Daphnia pulex: one gene and its partner. The protein of the gene in region 2 interacts with the protein of the main gene of each other region in a biochemical or structural test. Links are inferred from orthologs where the notes say so. Each region holds a gene or a part of one and is shown on either strand. Other genes may lie near its edges.

Evidence for each region. The genes of interacting proteins can lie anywhere in the genome.
Region 1: the proteins of neurogenic locus Notch protein-like (region 2) and recombining binding protein suppressor of hairless-like form a complex in vitro, tested with the Drosophila melanogaster proteins (4 studies listed by BioGRID). The link is inferred for Daphnia pulex from reciprocal best matches to the Drosophila melanogaster genes N and Su(H).

What each region holds. Positions count from the first base shown.
Region 1 is NC_060025.1:8,031,203-8,041,033, forward strand, and holds the start of recombining binding protein suppressor of hairless-like, read right to left. Parts: upstream 6,404-9,831; 5' UTR 4,964-6,403; coding exon 4,880-4,963; intron 3,295-4,879; exon of another isoform or gene 3,045-3,294; intron 2,640-3,044; exon of another isoform or gene 2,436-2,639; coding exon of another isoform or gene 2,415-2,435; intron 2,318-2,414; coding exon 2,015-2,317; intron 1,940-2,014; coding exon 1,609-1,939; intron 397-1,608; coding exon 111-396; intron 40-110; coding exon 1-39. UniProt on the Drosophila melanogaster protein: Transcriptional regulator that plays a central role in Notch signaling, a signaling pathway involved in cell-cell communication that regulates a broad spectrum of cell-fate determinations.
Region 2 is NC_060028.1:5,080,327-5,090,256, reverse strand, and holds the start of neurogenic locus Notch protein-like, read left to right. Parts: upstream 1-5,140; 5' UTR 5,141-5,416; coding exon 5,417-5,489; intron 5,490-6,115; coding exon 6,116-6,194; intron 6,195-6,574; coding exon 6,575-7,045; intron 7,046-7,487; coding exon 7,488-7,621; intron 7,622-8,114; coding exon 8,115-8,462; intron 8,463-8,543; coding exon 8,544-8,891; intron 8,892-9,216; coding exon 9,217-9,849; intron 9,850-9,919; coding exon 9,920-9,930. UniProt on the Drosophila melanogaster protein: Essential signaling protein which has a major role in many developmental processes. Functions as a receptor for membrane-bound ligands Delta and Serrate to regulate cell-fate determination.

The DNA.
Region 1 (9,831 bases), on a different chromosome or scaffold from region 2:
TGCTCCTTGGTTCCGCCCCTGTACGCCGATCCGGTCGGCCTATTATTTGATATAAATAATTCATTCAATCAAACTAATCCGGAATAATAATAATAATGACGGCGACTTACCCGTATCGATCGATGGGCACCGGTGGCGACGGAGTCGAAAGAGGCGACGGCGGAGTCTGCAGAGTCGGAGCCATGGCCGAACTGGGATGCGCCAGGGCGTAAGGGTTATGATGTTGTTGTTGTTGCTGTTGTTGTTGCTGAGCCCCCTGCTGCTGCTGCTGCTGGTGATGATGGTGTTGTTGTTGTTGCTGATTGAGCAAATGACCGCCGCTCAAATCGCCGGATGCTCCCACCACCTTGTCCGGTGGAGTCAAAGAGCCCGGAATCAATCCGCCCGCTCCGACAACTGTCAAAAAACAAACAATTCAAAATTAAAATTTCCGATCGAGATCAAAATGTCCTCCAAATGAATCAAATAGACAAACAATATCTGTTTGGAAGATTTTGTCGAATCTGTGCCGCTCACATCAGTCAAAAAACAAAAGATTTCCTCGTGTGTCTTTTTTTTTTTAAATAAAAGAAAAAGAGAAAAGACAAAACAAACTTTTAGCGTTCTAGGGCGATCGACTCTGCAACTGGGAAAAGTAAAAGAAAAGCCGTGGGAAACGGAGCAGTGGGTGCGAGCTGCACAAGATTAGACACACAAGTCGGCACATTGCCATGTCCTTCTCTCTCTCTCTGCACACACAAACCCTCCCATTTTTAGAAGAAAAAAGAAGGAAAACAAAAGATTTTCACCCTCCCCGGCTGCAACAATTCGCACATACATAGACAAACATCCGAAAAAAGATGAAAAACTAGTCGGCGGATGGACGGATGGGCTTCTCTATTTTTTAGATGAATATTACATGGGGCCTTCCATATTTTTCCCAACAACATCTCGTTCGTCTACCCTTTTTTCAAATCAAATGTCATCTGAAATTCTTCCCCATTTAAAAATGATGACAATTTTCTTTTATCGCTTCCTACTAGTCCCGGTCCAAATAACAAATTTGACAAGCGCTCCTCCGCGTGTGTGTACCAGTGCGCCCCAGACACATTCATACAGAGGAAGGGAGGAGAGAGGATCAACGACACCTGCAAGCGCCCGGTTGAGTTCCCACGCTTGGCTATATTTGATGTTGCGGATGGAATAAGAGGGAGGAGGAAGGAGGGGTGTCTGGGGGGTTCCAAACCGAAAAGGGTGGGCTTATGAGTGTGTGTGTGTAGGGTATACATATACAAAGTTATATGTATGGAGACGATTCAACGCTTTAATGCAAAATGCATTTGCTTCTCTCTGGCCGATAAATCGATCGAGTGTGCAACGCTGATGGAACTAGTACTACTACTCCTTCACCTACTCTCACTCCCCCACTCCCTGAATCCACCGTTGAAAACACTCGAGTTCCGCAAATCGATATCCAACACATGGTGACCATCTTTTTATTCCGGGGGGAGAAAGAAAGAGAAGGGAGGGTCCGTGACCGATAGACTCTCCCCCTCATCCACCACTCCGCATTATGATGACGACAATATGCTTTGAAATTATTTATTCGTTTTGACTTTTAATATTTACCGGAATCGGGGATGCCCAGCGAGAGGCTGAGCCCGTTGGGTTTGTAGGTGTCGTTGCCTCCGCGCTGACGTTGACTGGACGAGGTTGCGGGGCTGTTGTAGTCGGCGGCCGAGAGACCGTAGAAGGCGGCCGAAGTGGCGGCTGAAACGGCCGGATTGGGAGGTCGTTGCTGAGAATTCGACAAATCGACCGGGTGCTGCTCGGTAGGCGTGAACGGTTGTTGTTGTTGTTGTTGCTGCTGTTGTTGTTGTTGAGGCTGGTTGAGGTTGTAAGAAGACGGCGGATGAGTAGCTGTCAGCAATTCCGTCATCACCTGCCCTCCACCCACAGACTGTTTGAAGGAAAATAAAATGAAAAGTTGCAAACGGAATGGAATTTGAAAAGTTTAAAGTTGATTGGATGTTACCTGTCCGTAATAAGCGGCATGTTGTTGTTGCTGGTGATGATGCTGGTGGTGATGTTGTTGTTGCTGCTGCTGCTGCTGATGGTGGTGGTGATTGTGGGGCGAATAAGGATCGTGCGAATTGGACCAAACGTCCACCTCGCCGCCGCTTCCGTGTCCCACGCCGACGACTGTCGAACCGGATGAGCCGACCGTTCCGGCCACCGATGTCACGGCCACACTGTTGTTGACTCCGCCGATCAAATCCACAGACTCGCGGCTGTGCTGGGCCTCGTAACCGCCACTTAAACTGAACCCGTAATGGGCCTGTCGGAAAAATTCAATCAAAATATTAAAACAAAGTTTCGTTTTTAAATTTCCACGCCAATAACCAAATAAACCAAAAACGCTCGACTCGACTCACCAACGGCTTAGCTAGAGGCATAATTCAAATCTAATCAATAAGAAACTATCCAAAAAATCTTATCTGATCCAAAAACAATCAATCAATCGAGAAAATGGCGACACATTGTCCCAATGAAAATAACGAAACGGCCGATTGAATTCGAAACAAAAATGAAATTGTTTTTTTCCAGAGTTGAAAGGGAGACCGGCTTGATGCTCGGCCCGAGTCCTACTGTCCCGCTGGGCTGCGTTACAGTGTCGGTTGTTATTTCACACTTGACCCGACGACGACGAATACGACGACGACGTGAAGAGAAAAAAGAAAAAAATAATTTCATCCCCTCCCCGAGAGACGTTTTGGCCTGGCACGGCATTTTGGACGTGCGCGTTGAGAGCCACTCGGTGGCTAAAGCGACGACGACGTCGTCGACAGGTGCGCCGATTCCCACACGCTTTTCACTCTCTCTCTCTCCACCCCCCACCCCGTCACCCACTTCGCTATGTATACACATTGAATGACGTCGAGGATAACAGAGCCGACCGAAAAAGAAATAGACTCTGGGAGAGAATAATATCCATAAATCTCCACGTGCACTAGATTTTAAAGAAACATTTTTTTCAAAAATCAGATGACGTAAGTTTTTGTTACCGATCGATGATGAATAATCCTTGGCGTATAGAAACAAATTCACTGGACAACATTGTGCAGGGAGGGAAATTCAAACTTGAAAAAAAATATTTTCCAACTCAAAAGTTGGTCGAGTGCAGAGTGCGTTTGAAAAAGTGACCGTTTCCCACAGTCTCCGGCAGGCAAATGAAGTTGGTGGGTTGTTCTTCTCTATGTATCCTAGCTCCTCTCTACTCTCTATACGGTTTCTCTCGAGGCATCTTTTTTTGAATAAGAGAGAAGGGATCGGATGACCTTTTTCTTTTAAAATAAGGGGCTCTCCCCTCTTCTTTCTATTTTTTAAAAGAACAAATTGTTTGAACCAGTGCACACACACAAGGGTATATAGTACGAAATACACACACATTTTTTGTTGTTTTTCCCCTCTTGTGTTGAACAAGAAGTAAAAAAGAAAAAAAAAGTTTTTTGAAAGAGATGGCCGCCGGCGGTTCCCACACAAACACACTAGACACTTTAGAAGGCTCTCGTTAACTCTTTCCGTCTCTGTGTGTGTGTGTGTTATCTCCAATTTGTTAGATTCTTGTCAAGAAATCAACCCGAAATCAAAAAGTTAAACAAAAGCAACTCAACTTTTTAAATGTTAAGTCCGTCCAGACAGACAGACGGACAGACACTTGTAGTCACCCAAATGAAAATTGATTTGGCGAAGCATTTGAAAAATGAGAGATCTTTTGTAATTTAGATGTTGAGCAGCCAAAAGTAAACCGATCTGGGAATCGGTAATACGAATCGCCATCACTTTTCTAAGAGAGGAGAAACTACCAAGTTGTTCAGTGCTGGGCTGTGCAGTTGCTGGGCGAGGCCCGATGGAATGTCAATTGAAAAAGTTTCTTGTGTGTGAACCCCCACAAAAATGAGTGGGGGGAAAGGGGGGGGGGGAGAATGTATAGGAGAGTTGTGATCAAAACCTCGACCCATGTACCCATGCACCCACCAAACCCGCCCCGGTTCGTGGGAAAGAATTTGGCCGTCTGGGAAAATGAAAAACACAGTCCCGCTGGTGGTGGTGGTGGCTACTATATAGACATAGTAGTAGTGTAGTAGTAGTACGGTAGTCACTACACACACAGAGACTAACCTTTTGTATGTATAAATGACCTCCTCCGCAAACCCCGGCGGGCACATCCTTCCGCCCTGCTTATTTTTTTCTCTTTCAAAACCCACACACTAAAGCTCATGTACTAACTGTTACCTCTCTATACTGGCTTTTAATATCAGAGGAAGGGGGGGGGGAGCAAATACATAATCAACAACAACAGAAGAAAAGTTTTTTTTTTTCCCACACACTCACGTGTGTAAACAAAATTCGAGCGGAGCGCGCCAAATTCAAAATTTTCAAATTGTTCGAAATTTGATCATTTTTTTTTATCCGATCGAAATTCAAGGAGAATTGAATTCGGATCCAATAAAAAGATGCCGGGAAGAAAAGGAAAAAAATAAATAAAAAATAAACGGGCTACCGGACAGGAAATAATCGTGGACGACAGCCAAAGTCGTAAAAATCGGGAATTGCCTATAACTGAAAATCGTGATGTTGACACAAGTCGGCTTCTCTTTTTCACACGATATCACCGGTTACGCATGTCTGTGTGTGTGTGTGTGTCATTGAGTCTGAGACACATTCCTTATCGCCGACATAATCATCATCGTCGTAAGATTCTTATCATCGACCCAGTAAAAATAAAATCAAAAGAATTTCAAACGTTTGAAAATTGCCGCCAATATCAACACGAGTCGGCAAACACAAAACTTGGAAAACTTCAAATTTTCTTCCTTATTATTATTTTTTTAAATACCCAAGTATCGGCGAGCGGACTACGTGCGCTGGGTGTGTAGGGCTCCGAGTCGAGGTCCATTGAGCTGGGCGCAACGTCGGGCATTTTGTCCAAATTTCTTTTATTAAAACTTCGTTCCAATATTTCACTGCGAAAAATGTTGACGATTGTCAATGGCTAAAAAGCGTCACATGTGTCCAAAACCAAATTCACTGGATAAACCGAAAAACACTAGGCGACGAGATAAACCAAATTCCGTTGAGATCGACGGATGTTACGAGACAAGGACGGCCACTGGGCGCGTGCTGATTCCAGTCCAACCGTCGTGCAACTAAACTGAACATTTTCTACCCAACGACGACGACGGCGGCGGCGGCTGCCCCCTTTTCACCTAGGGTGGAGTGTATAGGGGGAGGAGGGTAGGTCCCGAGCACACAGACACACTATGTGTGCAGCTGTACCTCCTCCTCCTCCTACTACCCCCAGCAAAACGGACACACAAGAGGAAGGAGGGGGGAGTTGAAAGCGTCATCGGGTGGGGGAGGTCTGTCTTTTGTTGTACAACTTTTTAAATAGACTCCAATAGATTTACACAGCAATCTGCTCCACGTAATAATCCCTTTGATCCAAAAAGTCCCCCAACTGATTTTTTCCTATTTCAATTCAATTCCAATTTGATCGAACTGAATTATTCAAATTAATAAATACGGGTGGTAAATGAATATGCACACACCATGGGGGATCTGTGGGGGAATCCGATGAATCAAACGTCTAATTATTTTATCGGGGGGGGAAGGAATTTGGGCCTACATCCCAATTGAAAAATAAAAATTTCAAGAGATGCGCTGAAATTCCCATTAATTTGTCGTCGGGTTCAAACACATCAAGGGCGTGTCATTTGGTGTAGTGTAGAGCAGGGGGGTTCATCCGCATAAAACTGAATAATGACCCCCTCACTCCCTTTAAAAAAAAAGACAGACATGGAGATGCCGGAGCTAAAGGGGAAGTTGTAACGCGAGCATAACGTGGGAAAAAACCAAAAATTTAGTCGACGTTCTTTTTCGAGTCTTACTTCGTTCGGCAACAAGTGGCGTAGCCAAAAAGGAAGAAACAACAAAGATATCCCCCCACCATACCATTTGAAATGACGTCACACACGTGTTTGTGCGGTAACACGCGGGACGATGGATTGAAGGAGAAGAAGCTCCTTCCGCAAAAGGTAAAAATAGAAGAAAGAAAAAAACCAACTGATGGGAACACAACAACAAGGAGAGTCGAAATAAATATCAAATAAAAAGAAAGACATAATAAAAAAAGAAAAAGAAAAAGTTTTTCCCGCCGACGCAAATGTGTGAGAACGACGTCGGAGTCGAGCATCCACGGAAAGGAGACACACACACACACAAAGTGGGGTTGGTGTTGAAAACCCGCTTCCTCCTCCTCCTCCCCTCCACCTTCCTTATTTTTAACCAAAAAACTAAGCTCCTCCCACCGTTCTAACATTTCTCGGGCCATTTGACCAGTTCGAAATTTAAAAAAAATTTTGAACGAAAAAATTTGACAAGAAAAGTAGACAAAACAAAAATTCAAATTTTGGACGATGATGAAGGAAAATAAATTTCCCATTGCGACTCGTCGATCACGTCACGATGCGCTGGCAATCGGGCGGCAGGTACGTAAGGGGCCGTGAGAAAAAAATGGCAACAAGTGGAACGGTGAGCAGCTCCACAAGAGCACCTCGTCAAGAGGTCAGAGGCGGTGTACAGAGGTGGCTGCTCCTAATGCTCCTAACGTATATAAGAGGTGGGGGCTTGTTGGGGTCGCCGACGAGGTCAGTGTCACCTGTTTCTTCTTCTACACGTATTGCTCGGCGTAGTAACTCACAACATCATTCTCTTCTCCAATGATAAGGGAAGCTCTTCTTCTTCTTCTTCTTCTTTTTGCTCCTAATTTCCGTGAACGTGGGAGCCGAAACGTTTCCTCCCGGGAGACTTTGATTCGCTCGTTATTGTGTCGTTTCTTTTGACTTTTTCTTCTTCTTCTTCTTTTATTTTTGTTTCAAAAAGTTTCAAATTGACTTTTCACCGTTGCTTCTAGTTGGATAAGATAAACACACGGCGCTTTGATTTGATGTTCACCGACAAAGGAACTCGCGACGATCTATTTTGGACGAACGTCATTTTGTGGATTTTTTAAAGACCCCCAGCCACTTGACTTTCATTTCTAGTTTGAGTAGCTCCTATAAATCAAAACTGCAATATGTTTTTTGTTTTATTCTCTGCAATGTCATTTTCATTGATTGGACCCACCGAAAAAATAAAGAATAGAGAACAACAACAAAAAAGGGTGTAACAGCCCCGTGTAGAAAGCGTGGGAAGAAGGCGAAGGCGCAGAGAGAAAACGTTTTTTCGGTACACATTTCATCATTGGAACTAACACAACACAACCAACCAAATTTGTTGTTTGTTTGTTCTTTTTTAAATAAGAAAAAAAAAAGTGAGACTCTCTCTTTCGATATCCCAACAGAAACCCCCAAATAAACTTAAATATAGATCTCTCTCTCTATCTCTGCTGTCTACTCCCTCGCAAAGTCACTGGCATTTTCCACAAAATTGGTTTTGGTTCACATCTACGTAGGTATCGTGGGAAACTGGGAAAACAACCCAAAATTCTATCGTCATGTTGGACGATTTTCTCTTATCGACGGATGGTAGAGAGCGACGCTATTCGCAGACAGACAAGGGGTGGAGAGTCTATAGATCCAAAGGAGGGGTTACGTATGTACATACAATAGTTCACGATTAGACCGTGCTGCTGGAATTTTAGGGGGGGTTGAAAATTCACCATTCCCCCCAGAAAACCATAAGTTTTATTTTTACTTTTTTTTATTATTATTAAAGGGCGTCGGCGTCGGATTCCCACGCGAATAACGTCCTATATTGTAGTCGGTGTACCTTTTCCCCCTTTGAAAAACAAAAATGGGCAAGTCCCAAACAAAAAAGCAAATTTCTATTCTACGCGCACAGGATTTCCAAATAAGCCCCCAAAAAATTAAGATAATTGATAGAGAGTTTGGGAAAAATACAAGTGGCTAATATCACACTGTGTATACTGCACTACCAATCTCAACACAAAAGCGAAAAAGTGGTGACTGGGCTTTCCCTCGAACCTACAATCAACAGGTTGGCCAACCCCGTGCGCAGCCAAGGTCTAAAATGGCCGATCTTTTTGTATCTATTTCCAAAAAACTTTCAAAAAAAAAATAAACCAAACACGTACACATAAGCTATTTTTCTCGAAATAGCAGCTTTGAAATCTGTCATTACGCCGAATGGGTAGGGAGGATAATGTCAATGTATCCATCGCGATACAACAGCGTGAGAAGAGTCAACGTCGTGAATGTGTGAGGCTTGGAACAAAAGTGGCAACAAACTCCGACAGGATCGTGATCGTAAAAAGAAAGAATCAATCCACTTTTTTATTTCAATCTATGACGCTTAACCTATAACGCCGAGTTCTTTTATTCTGAGCTGTGTTGGTCGACTCACGAAAGGAAAATAAAAAAATCGGGAAGAAATAACTTCTTCTTCTTCTTTCCTTTGATTTTTTTTCTTCTAAAACTCTTCGGATGGTTCACACACTGGTCACGGTCCGGTGACTTTTGAGTGTCCTACGCTCGGCCGACCGACCGACCACAAATCGACTCTCGACTCCAATTATTAAAAGGATGTTCGTCTTCTTCTTTTCAAGTCTCAAATTTCATTCAAAAGGAACAAGAAAGCGACTAACCGCCAGTCCATTCACAGAAACGAAACCCCAAAAAAGAGAATAACACCCTCATCCCGTTTGGAATTTTACCTGAGTGTCGAGATAGGCGTCGTTCATTTCTCCCTGCGAGTTGGAAAAAAAGTCAAGTTTCAAATTTCGCTTGCGAGTTTTCTCGGGGTGTTGGATGATGATGATGACGGTCGGAAGTGGACGCAGGAAAGTTCTCTCAAGTTGCAATGCGGATGAAGATGTTGTCAACACTTGGCCTTAGCCTCGGTGGCATATGGAGACATCACACAAAACGATTGCGCAAGTCAAACCAAAAATAAACCGAAAACACTCGGATGGATGGCAAAGTCCCCGGGAGTTGGAAGAAGATGAACAAACGAACGATTTTTTCGGAGGAACGACGGAAAAGAAGAACCTTCAATGGCGGATGGGCCGATTGTATTGTCTGTCGAGTCGATTCATTCCGCCGGATAATAGGAGAGAGAGAGACTCGCGGGAGAAGGGGGGGGGAATCGATCGAGCGCGCATGCAAAGGGGGAAGAGGCGGGAACTCGTGAACAAAAAAATTCGTGAGCGTGTGGATGATGAGAGCGACGCCGTGGCGTCGGCGGGAGTCGAGAGTGGGGGGTGGGGGAGGCGTGATGGTTGGGTTGACAACAGCCAATGGGCGTCGGGACGTTTCCCATTGGCTCTGAGCGCCTAATCACGCTATACCTGAGCTTCTACCTGCGGGACTAAGCGGTCGGTGGGAAACCAGCACCTCCCACTGGACCTACACCCAGCCGAGCCGAAAGCCCCAAACGAAGAAAATCACGTCGCAATAATTATTGAGCGGGCCAGCTCTCTTCCTCTCAAGGCCTCTGCCCCCCTCGCTCATCTTTGTATGAACATTCGTCAAGGTCCATCGGACCTGCAGCCCCAACACCTTCCGGGACTTATATAATTATTTTTAATTATTTGAAAAAAATCATTCGACTTTTGGTTTGAATCAAAAATTATTAGCCAAATCAAATTGCGATTGAATTAAAGGATCGAAAAAGTAAATTGTCAATGCGGAAATGTTTACACACGATCATATTTGAATAAATAAGACGAAGCGCCAACATTTTGCTGTGACAACAATTGCTCTTACGGGTTCTCTCTCTTTTTCCAAACTGCACATAGAGAGGTGTACACTAGTATATGTATGTAAGTAG
Region 2 (9,930 bases):
TATATTTCTTTTTTTGTTTTCTTTTGTTATAAATTAGGTTTAAATTTTTTACTATAACTTTGCAGTAATTAAGATTGTTCATTCAAACACATCTTTCGACCCCTCCCTCTTAAAAGTCCTATGAGCTATGACATTGATATTTATATTTTCTTAATGCTTTATTGTTGATTAAACAGGGGGCTGTAGTTTAGAAGTTATATTATTTATATTATTCTGTACCCCCTGTGGAAGAATTTCAGCGATCCAGAAATTCAGTTGTTTTGGCGCATTGCTCATTTTTTTTTTACTTTTAATAATAGGACTGGCTTCAAAAGCATTTATTAGAAATGAAATTATTAACGGGAAAAAAATCCCATAAAATATGATCGTCAAGATGCGTTGAAACATGATAGAGGTCAGCGGAAAGATAAGAGTAGGCTAGTTACAAACCTAATGTGAGTGCGGTTCACGTTCTTCTCTGAAGTGGAAATCATAAATGTCACAACTACTACGATTTTCGTGTTCACGATATGAAGAGAAATCTGTCCTGTTTATCATGTTTTGTTTTGACAAGGACTTGTATAGGCGACTGTAACAAAGCAACCAGGTTATTAATCCAGAAAAAAAGTGAACCATGAATACGCACGAATAAGTAGCTCCTCTACCTTATTGAGGCAACTATTGTTTTGGGGGGTATTCTCACCATTAGTTACTAAGTGGCTACATCATAATGCTTTCAAAGATGCGACCCCATGAATCATACAATAGAGTGATAAGAAATTCACTTCAGTTTCATTGTCATCGCTTCAGTGAACGGTGAGAACGAAAATCTCTGTTAGGATGAAAACCGTCTCAGTAAATATTCGTGGCGTAAACTTTGACCAAGTTTTATGTTCCATACGGAAAACAACGAATATTTTATTCTTACGTCACTATTGGCGGCACCATTTAAAAGAATGTAGCTTAATACGTTTTCGACGTTCAATAATGGTAGAAATATGACGTTTAAGTTTTTTTTCAACTTTTCACTCGTCGCATTGCCTATTCTGAATTCTCAATTGCTCTTATTTGAATATATGTCATTACGTCAGTACTCGATAATCTTAGATGCCAAAAATGCATAAAATAGATAGCCTGCATGTCTAAACGAAACTTAACATGCGTGGGTATGCGCACACATATTTTATGACTGACTGACCATCAATAAGAACATAAATTTCTTTCTTCATTTATTTATTTAAGTTCCAATCAGTATTATATCAATCAAAACAGATATAGATTAAATCCTTGAAACTTCATCATTTTCCATAAAACTGACTAAATATTGACACGACTGCCAATAGTTGCAATATTACTACAATAAATAATTAATAGTTTCGTTTGCTTGAATTTTCCTCGTCTCGTTACTCGTTAGTCACTAATTCATTCTTCGAATTACCAGGGTTTGCAACAAAGCAAATATGCAGTACAGACCACGACCGATAGGGGGCTGCATAAGAGCCCGAGACCGGCAAGTTTCAAGTTTCAACCAGTTTCAACATTTTTGACGCAATAAATAACCTTGTGTTAATTCACGATGTAGAATTGTATTTCTCCAACAAAGACCATTAAACTTTCAAATTCAAATAGGAATCTTAGCACACTTGCGTTATTTGCCAAAAGTCGCATTTCCCCCGATGGTGTGTTAAAACCGGTTTAACAATGTAACAAAGTTACATTTGCTGAGTAAAATAGTTAAATCCAAAAATATGGTCATCTAGACTTTGCGACTGACAAACTCTGGTTGCTCTTCGAAGTTCCTAGATTGATGAAACTAAAATTTAAAAATTGTGTTAGAAGACGCCTAGTCTGATAGGAATTTTACCTATAGTATTTTTTATTTCATTATGTTGTAGGAAAATAAGATAATAAGAAAACGAATCAGTAAAACGAAAGCAAGAAAAAAAAACGCATAGATATAAACAGCTGAGATCAGCAAGTTCGCACGTTGCTAAAGAAGTTCACACGAATGCGCACGAATGCTAAAGAAAATAAATGGACCTATTATTTGAAACTGTAGATTCACTGCTGAATTTGTTGGATCGAGTTTGGCTACCTAAACCCTTAACATAAAGCATATTAGAGAAGCACATCGCTATTGGTTTTCTACGCAACATGTCAATAATTAAAATCATATTACACAATGTCATGAGTTCCATGAAGTATTCAGTTGAGCTTTCGACGAACTCATCAATCACATCTCGAATATAAATGAGGATTGTGAAAGATTTTTCAGGAATCGAATTCGTCTGGCTATAGTCATTTGTAAATCTCAACCCTCATTAGGCTACATCCTATATGTCGTATCATATTCCTAAGAAGATCTTCCTTGTTTAAGCCGGTCTCAAAGTAATACATTCTAGTGTAGAATTACTTTCTGCAACAGAAATTGCATTTTCAATGGACGAGACGTTTGATTCGATTAAATTCAAATTCGAAATAATCTAATGCTTTAAATGCCCTTGCTTCTTCTCCTTGTTTAGTTCTGAAAAACAGAGTTATGACCAAGTTATGACTTATTTATTTGTGATCTAATATAATATCTATTCTATGCAGGTTCTTAAAAAATATTGGATAAGCTAATATGTGGTTTCGACAAATCAACATTGAAATGTCTTATTAGCAGTTTGGTGAATTTTGAGCACAACCAGACAACTATACAAATCTATACTATAGAACTCTACTGCCTCCAGCTCTTTTTCTTTGTCTGGTGGTAGTAGGAAGGGGGGACACCGGGACATTGATATTTTAGAAAAGATTTGACGACGATTTTTCGATCCATTTTGACAAGGAAAAACAGACCACGCACTTGAACACCATCGGCCTCTGCCAAGATCAGTGCGGCTGCAACACCAACAAAGATGATGCGGGTTTTAAGGCAAACAACCTTCGAGGCTTTTCTTCTCTTATCTTTCGTGTTGTGTCCGTCCAACAACATCTCCCCTACGAAAAAACAACCAAGCCTCTGGCTATGGCATTCCTCCCCATGGGCTGACCTCGACGTTGACCTCTTCTCCGCCACACCAACTCTGGCGCCACTGGATGGAAACATCTGTACTCGTTTCTTTCTCCCCTCTCTCTTCTGAAGCAATAAACAAAAGGGAAGAAGAAGAAGAAGAAGAAAAAAAGCAGTAAAAAAATTCATATTCGAAACCACCTGCCCCTGGGGCTTTGGCGCCATCTTTGTTCACCACCACTTTGGGATTCATCAAGTTCATAATAATTAAAAAAGACGAAAAAAGAGTGTGTTTCAAGGTTGATATCTGTGGTACTACCGAGGGCGGGATACCTCCGTGTTGGGTCGGGTTGCGTTTTTTTGACCGCAAAATAAGATTTTTTTTTTTTTTTCATTTTTTAACTCAAAAACTAACGGCCGGAACATTCCCACGCTTGCCATTGTCGTGGTATTATCTGGAAAGCCAGGTGCACTTGCCAATGACCACTGATAATCACCGTGATTTAGAAAAAAAGAAAAAAAAAAAATTAATATCTAAAACTTGTTGATAACAAGTTTTCAAAACCTATACGACGACGACGTCGACGCATTGGCTCTGTCCGGTGTTTGCATCTACTCACGAACGACAAATGATTTCATTGTCCCGATTATCATTTTTGACAGATCTAGACACGGGGTCAACGGTTGCGCTCCACACGACTGGAGAAATAGGTTGGATCGATTTATCACGAAGCGAATTTTCCTTTTCTTTTTTAGAGGCCTAGAAACGAGTTTTTTTTTTTTATTCCGTTCCCACGGATAACCATTTCACCCCTCTCCATTTGATCGTTTGATTCAATTCCCCCCTACTTTTTGTGATCCGTTTGAGTGGTTTACATGTGCAACAGTTGCTGCCAATCTGTCGCAACTACCCCACCACCACTTGTGGTGAAGGGGGTTTGGTCACGTGACCATCGATAGAGCATTGAGTTGATTGTTTGGGTTTTACGCTCGAGGAATACGAACAAGTCAATGCAGGAACAAGTTGGTTTAGTTCTAAGTTTGGGTATCTCGTTAACCCTTTTATCCCAACGGGAAAGACCTGATGATTTTCGTGTCTAACTGCACGGTAGATGATGAGAACCAATCAGCGCGGATCGAATGTAAAATGGGGAAAAAAAAAGGAAATTTCGGTTCGAGGCGTATATGACACAAATAAAAATATGAATGATGCAGAGCCATAGGCAGAAGAAGAAATGAATATAAATATGATGAAAGGCGCATCACGCAATGGGTAGAACGCAGAAGATGATTCCGGCGGCGCCAGTTGAATGATCAATCACGGTCTACATGATGCGGCCTTCGGATTCCTGGAGCTTGATGATGATTGCCGGTCATCTAGTTTCTACCTTCTTTTTCCGTTTTTCGTATGGTGCATCAGACTGTTTCTTTCTCAATTGCATTATTTTTTTGTGGGCTCGACAACGAGCTGCTTTCGTGATGTAGCCCACTTTTACGGCTGATTATACCATGCGCGGAATGGCAGAAAAACAATGGACGGACATGTCAACTGGATGAGGAGCTTAAAGGCGTCACGATCCCAGTCAAAAACAAATCGACAGGTCCTTTTTCCAATCGGCTTCACTAAAAGGGAAAGTTGCTGGAAAGATTTGGACGATGTCACTTTTTCCCCTGTATGATGGATGGGGGGATATTTCATCCCTACGGAAATCAGACAATATAAAAATATATTTCTAGGCCTAGTATTCCTCTTGGGTCTTTTATGATCGGCCCCAAAATTCTTTGAGAAGCTCCCTTCTTTCGGCTTTAATTACTTTCTTCGGGGAATTCTATTCTACATGTTTGTGAAATAGAAGAAACCAAGTCATGAACTTGTTAGACTCGCAATCAAAGTTTCATCTAGAATATACCACAAATACAAATAACTCTGTGGTTGAGAAAAATCGTTATTATAGGCGACACGTTTGGCCGAGTGACAGAATACTGGAAGAAGAATAGGCGCAATTTCAATTTTGTTCTTGTGTATTATAATTTTTCTTCTCTGTGTGCAGCAAGAAAACCCGCGGAGATTGCAAGGAGAAAGGAAGAGAACAAGTCGGACTCTGATTGGTTGTCGGTGGTTTTGCCTCGAGGCCAGTTATTCTGATAGAGCGACTCCCTCCGGCCAGTCGAGAAGCGTCCGTTGAACGGGAAGGATGTACTGTGTCGCTGCTGCTTGAATTTCTTCCATTTTTCTCTGTGTGCATCTGAGTTTAACAAAAAATCTCTTTACTGGAAAAGTGTGTAAAAACAAGAGAAAAAGTGCATCACCATGACCCAGTGGCTGAAAGTGTTGGTGTTTTGAGTGATTTAATTTTTCATCTATTCAACACAAAGAGGGAGAGAAGAAAGAAAGAAACGTTAAGTGTGTGTGAGTCCCTGTTTTTGTTGCTGCCATTAAAAATGGGGACCGACCGCAGTGGATTACTGATGCTGTTGCTGGGCATTCTCGTCTTCTTCTCAGCTTCAGTTCAAGGTAACCTTGACGTTTTTGTCTCGAATATTCGTGTGGCTTAAAATTACCTCATGACGATTGTTTCATTAAAGGTAGGGGGGAGTCTGAAAAAAGTAGTTGGGATGACGGTTAGAGTTTTGTTGCATCTGCTCTTCTTTTCAAAAAAAGACGCCGGGCCCCGTAGGGCTTTACATTTCCCACGCATTTAAATCCCCCCTCCAACCGACGCTCTCATTGTCCTTCTCTCTCCCCCCCCCCCCCCCCCTCTCCGACCTGTTGATCGACGTTGCCGAGATCTCAGCAAATCATTTTATTTATTTTTTAAAATTAAAAAAAGAATATGGTGATGACCAACATATCCGGCGAATAAAGACATCGTGAGATGATTAAGTTTCAAGACATTTTCATCAGCCAAGACATTTTGGTGGTGTCACATAGCGTTAGGCCACATGTTATTTGATAGTCATGAGTTAATGATGTTAGACAATAGCGTCGTATGTCCATTGAATCGTATCCTCTATCAGGGCGGAAGTGCATGATAGTGGACCCGTTTCCGTTGCTCTTTTTGTGTGTGTGTATTATCATTCACTCAAATCAATAATAATAATTAACTGTAATTTTTTTTCTTTTTTTTTTATTTATTCCAGGATTCGTTTCGTGTTCGCCCAATCCCTGCAAGAATGGAGCGTCGTGCGTCTCCAACCCGCGCGGCGAGTCTTACTGCAGGTAACGTCCATTGTTGAAAGTCTACAGGGGAGATCTATCCCCCCCCCCCTCTCTCTCTCTCTCCAATGGTAGAGTCTCTCTCGCTCAGAAGCGTGGGAAACAAGCTGGTCTGCATAGTTTGGGCTATTGAAACCACCTACCGTCAGCCACCCTACCACCACCACCTTGTCCACTTTTTTTTTTTGTTCCATCCGGTTTGGGCCCGAGCTGCTCACGTACTGCCTCCAGCTCTTTTTCTTTGTCTGGTAGTGGAGGTGGTAGTAGAAGGGGGGGAACGTTGATTTTTTATTTTTGGGGATTATGCTTTGATACACATGGTCCAGTTGCTCCAATCACTTGTGAAACAAATGATTAACTCTTTTTATTTTTATTTTTTACAGCTGTCCGCCGCAATACGTGGGCGAGTACTGCCAATTTGCCAACCCCTGCCATACGGGACCCGGACCTCGGTGCCAAAATGGCGGCACTTGCGCCGTCAAAATGTCGACTAATGCCGTGCCCAGCTTCTCCTGTTCGTGTCCGCTGGGTTACTCGGCCTCGCTGTGCGAGATTCCCGTGCCCAACGCCTGCGACACTGGGCCGTGCCAACACGGCGGAACGTGTCTACTCCGCACGCTGGATAACTACACCTGCGCCTGCTCGTCGGGATTCCGCGGCGCCAAATGCGAAGCTGTCGACCACTGCGCCCTGCATCCGTGCAAAAACGGTGCCCAGTGCACGTCTTTGTCGGACTCTCACCGCTGCACTTGCGCTCCTGGATTCGCTGGCCCGACGTGCGCTGTGGACATTGACGAGTGTAAACGCAACCCGTGCATCCACGGTCGCTGTGTCAACACCCACGGATCATACAAGTGAGTCCAGTCGTATTGACTCTTGTCGTCAACCATCTGTTGATCTTTCTTGGCATCCTTATCTCGACGTCATGATTGTCAAATGATTACCAAGCTGACTCAACAAAGTTGTTGACGCCGACCAAAGAAAGTCCGAGGGGAAATTTTTTCGTCACATCTTTATTATTATCTTCTATTCAACATTTTTTTAAAAATGTAGTTTCCTTCCAAAAATATTAAAAGAGGACAAAAAAGAAATTAAATTTTTCAAGGCTTTCATTGTCGAGTTAGCGTGGGAACGGCCGAGGCGAAAACAAGTCCATTAAATCGCCGTGGTCAGTAGACACCAGATTGAATTTATTTGTACTTTCTCGTCACGTGTCTGTGTGTGTCTCGTCTCATGTTTGTATCATGCCGGGCGCTAATCATCCGTTTGTATCCGTTTACTTTTTTTATTTTCCAGATGTAACTGCCACACGGGTTATACTGGCCAGAATTGCGAAAATCAGTATGTGCCATGCAGTCCGTCTCCATGCCAGAATGGTGGTGCGTGCAAAGCCATCGATTCTCTCAACTACGAATGCCGTTGTCCGCCTGGTAAGTCTCATAAAATTTGATTGAACCTTTTATTCCTCTTCTTTCCGGTAAATTTATGACAACTGAAACGAATTGTTGGTCCCAACAACCAAAAAGAAACAACAACAACATTGAATCTGGTTAGAGTAGCCATAAAGTCATTGTCGGCTGTTAAAATGAAGTTTAAATCTAAAGTCATCAGATTTCGGATGTGCTTGGTTTCCATCGGTGGGAACATTCCCACACACACAAGAAAGCCAAAACTTGTTATACCCTCGGGGCAAACCTCGTCCATCCAGAGAGACTTGAATATAAATATCCGAGCCCCTCTCTCTCTCTCTCTCAAATCTCTCCAGGCTCTTTTATGTTCCGACCCCTCCACCTTTCTCTAAAAAAAAGAACACCTGGGCGATGACCAACAAAGAATTCTTTCCTGTCTACTTACAGCGTTGCCATTTTCCCTTTAACACGAATCTAATATTTCCCCCCTTTCTTCTGATTATCAAAATTCTAGGCTTTGCTGGTACCAATTGCCAAGAAAATGTCAACGACTGCCCCGGTCATTTATGCCAGAATGGAGCCACTTGCGTCGATGGCGTCAATTCCTACACATGCCAGTGTCCACCATCCTTTACGGGGCCTTATTGTAATCAAGACGTCGATGAATGTGCTTTGAGGCCTAGCGTCTGCAAGAACGGCGCTACTTGTACCAACACCCACGGTGGATTCTCCTGCATTTGCGTCAACGGCTGGACTGGATCCGACTGCTCGGAGAATATCGATGATTGCGCCGGTGCCGCTTGCTTCAATGGCGCCACTTGTCACGATCGAGTCGGCAGTTTCTTTTGCCAATGCGCTCCAGGTACTGCCGAGAGAGAATAACTTAAACTTAAAAACCGGTTCTTCTTTATTAATTCCATCAAAATGGTTTATTCAATTCAAGGCAAAACCGGATTGTTGTGCCATTTGGACGATGCCTGCGCTTCAAACCCTTGTCACGCCGGAGCCATTTGTGATACTAGTCCCATCGACGGCACCTACATGTGTTCCTGCCCCAACGGCTACAAAGGAGTCGACTGCACTGAAGATATCGACGAATGCGAAGCCGGATCGCCTTGCGAGCACGACGGACTCTGCGTCAACACGCCCGGCTCATTCCGCTGCAATTGCACGCGGGGTTTCACCGGCCCTCGCTGCGAGATCAACATCAATGAATGCGATTCCAACCCCTGCCAAAATGACGGCACTTGTCTGGATGAACGTGGAGCCTTCCGCTGTGTCTGCATGCCAGGTATGTGATTCTTGATCTCTTCCGGGTGTGGCAATAAGAGGTCAAAGTTCGTGAGACTTTTTCCCCCCTTCCGTTGGGAAAGTGAAGGTTAGCTTGGCGTGGGAAACCATATGAGCTTCTCAAAAACCATGTGTTTGTCTCAAATTCTCAAGTTGGGCCTTAAGTGGCAGTTGGTAATTTGAGATAAACCACCCCGCTCCGGTCCAGTTTCACTCGACGCAATCCATCACGAGTGCCGATGTCGATAGAGAGAGAGATCCAACAGCTGCCTGCAGGAGGAAAAGGCCCCGATGCATCATTGACACTTTTTTCTCATTTTCTGTAGGCTACACGGGTGTCCATTGCGAAGTTGACATCGACGAGTGCGCTTCCAGCCCTTGCATCAACGGTGGCATCTGTACCGACATGATTAATGGCTACAAATGTGTCTGTCCGCCCGGTTTCTCCGGCAAGAAATGCCACATCAACATCGACGATTGCGTCAGCTCGCCATGCCAAAACGGAGGCGTTTGCAGAGACTCGGTGGCCGGCTACACTTGCAACTGTCCTCAGGGATTCACCGGACTCAACTGCGAAGTCAACATCAACGATTGCCAGAGCTCACCCTGCCATCATGGAGATTGCGTCGACGGCGTCAATTCCTTCACCTGCCAATGTCATCCAGGCTACAACGGACTCTTGTGCCAGACGCAAATCAATGAATGCGAATCCAATCCTTGCCAATTCGGCGGCCATTGCGAAGACCTTATTGGTGGCTATCAATGCCGATGCCAGCCTGGAACATCGGGCCGTAATTGCGAGTACAACGTCAATGAATGTTTCAGTAATCCTTGTCGTAATGGAGCCACTTGTATCGACGGAATCAACCGATACACTTGCGACTGTGTGCCAGGATTCACCGGACAACATTGCGAGACTAACATTAACGAATGTGCCAGCAATCCCTGCTCAAATGGAGGTAACTGGTTATATTTATTCCTTTATTTATTTTTAAATCAAATTTGGTATTTAATGCTCGGTTTTTCTAGGTAAATGCACG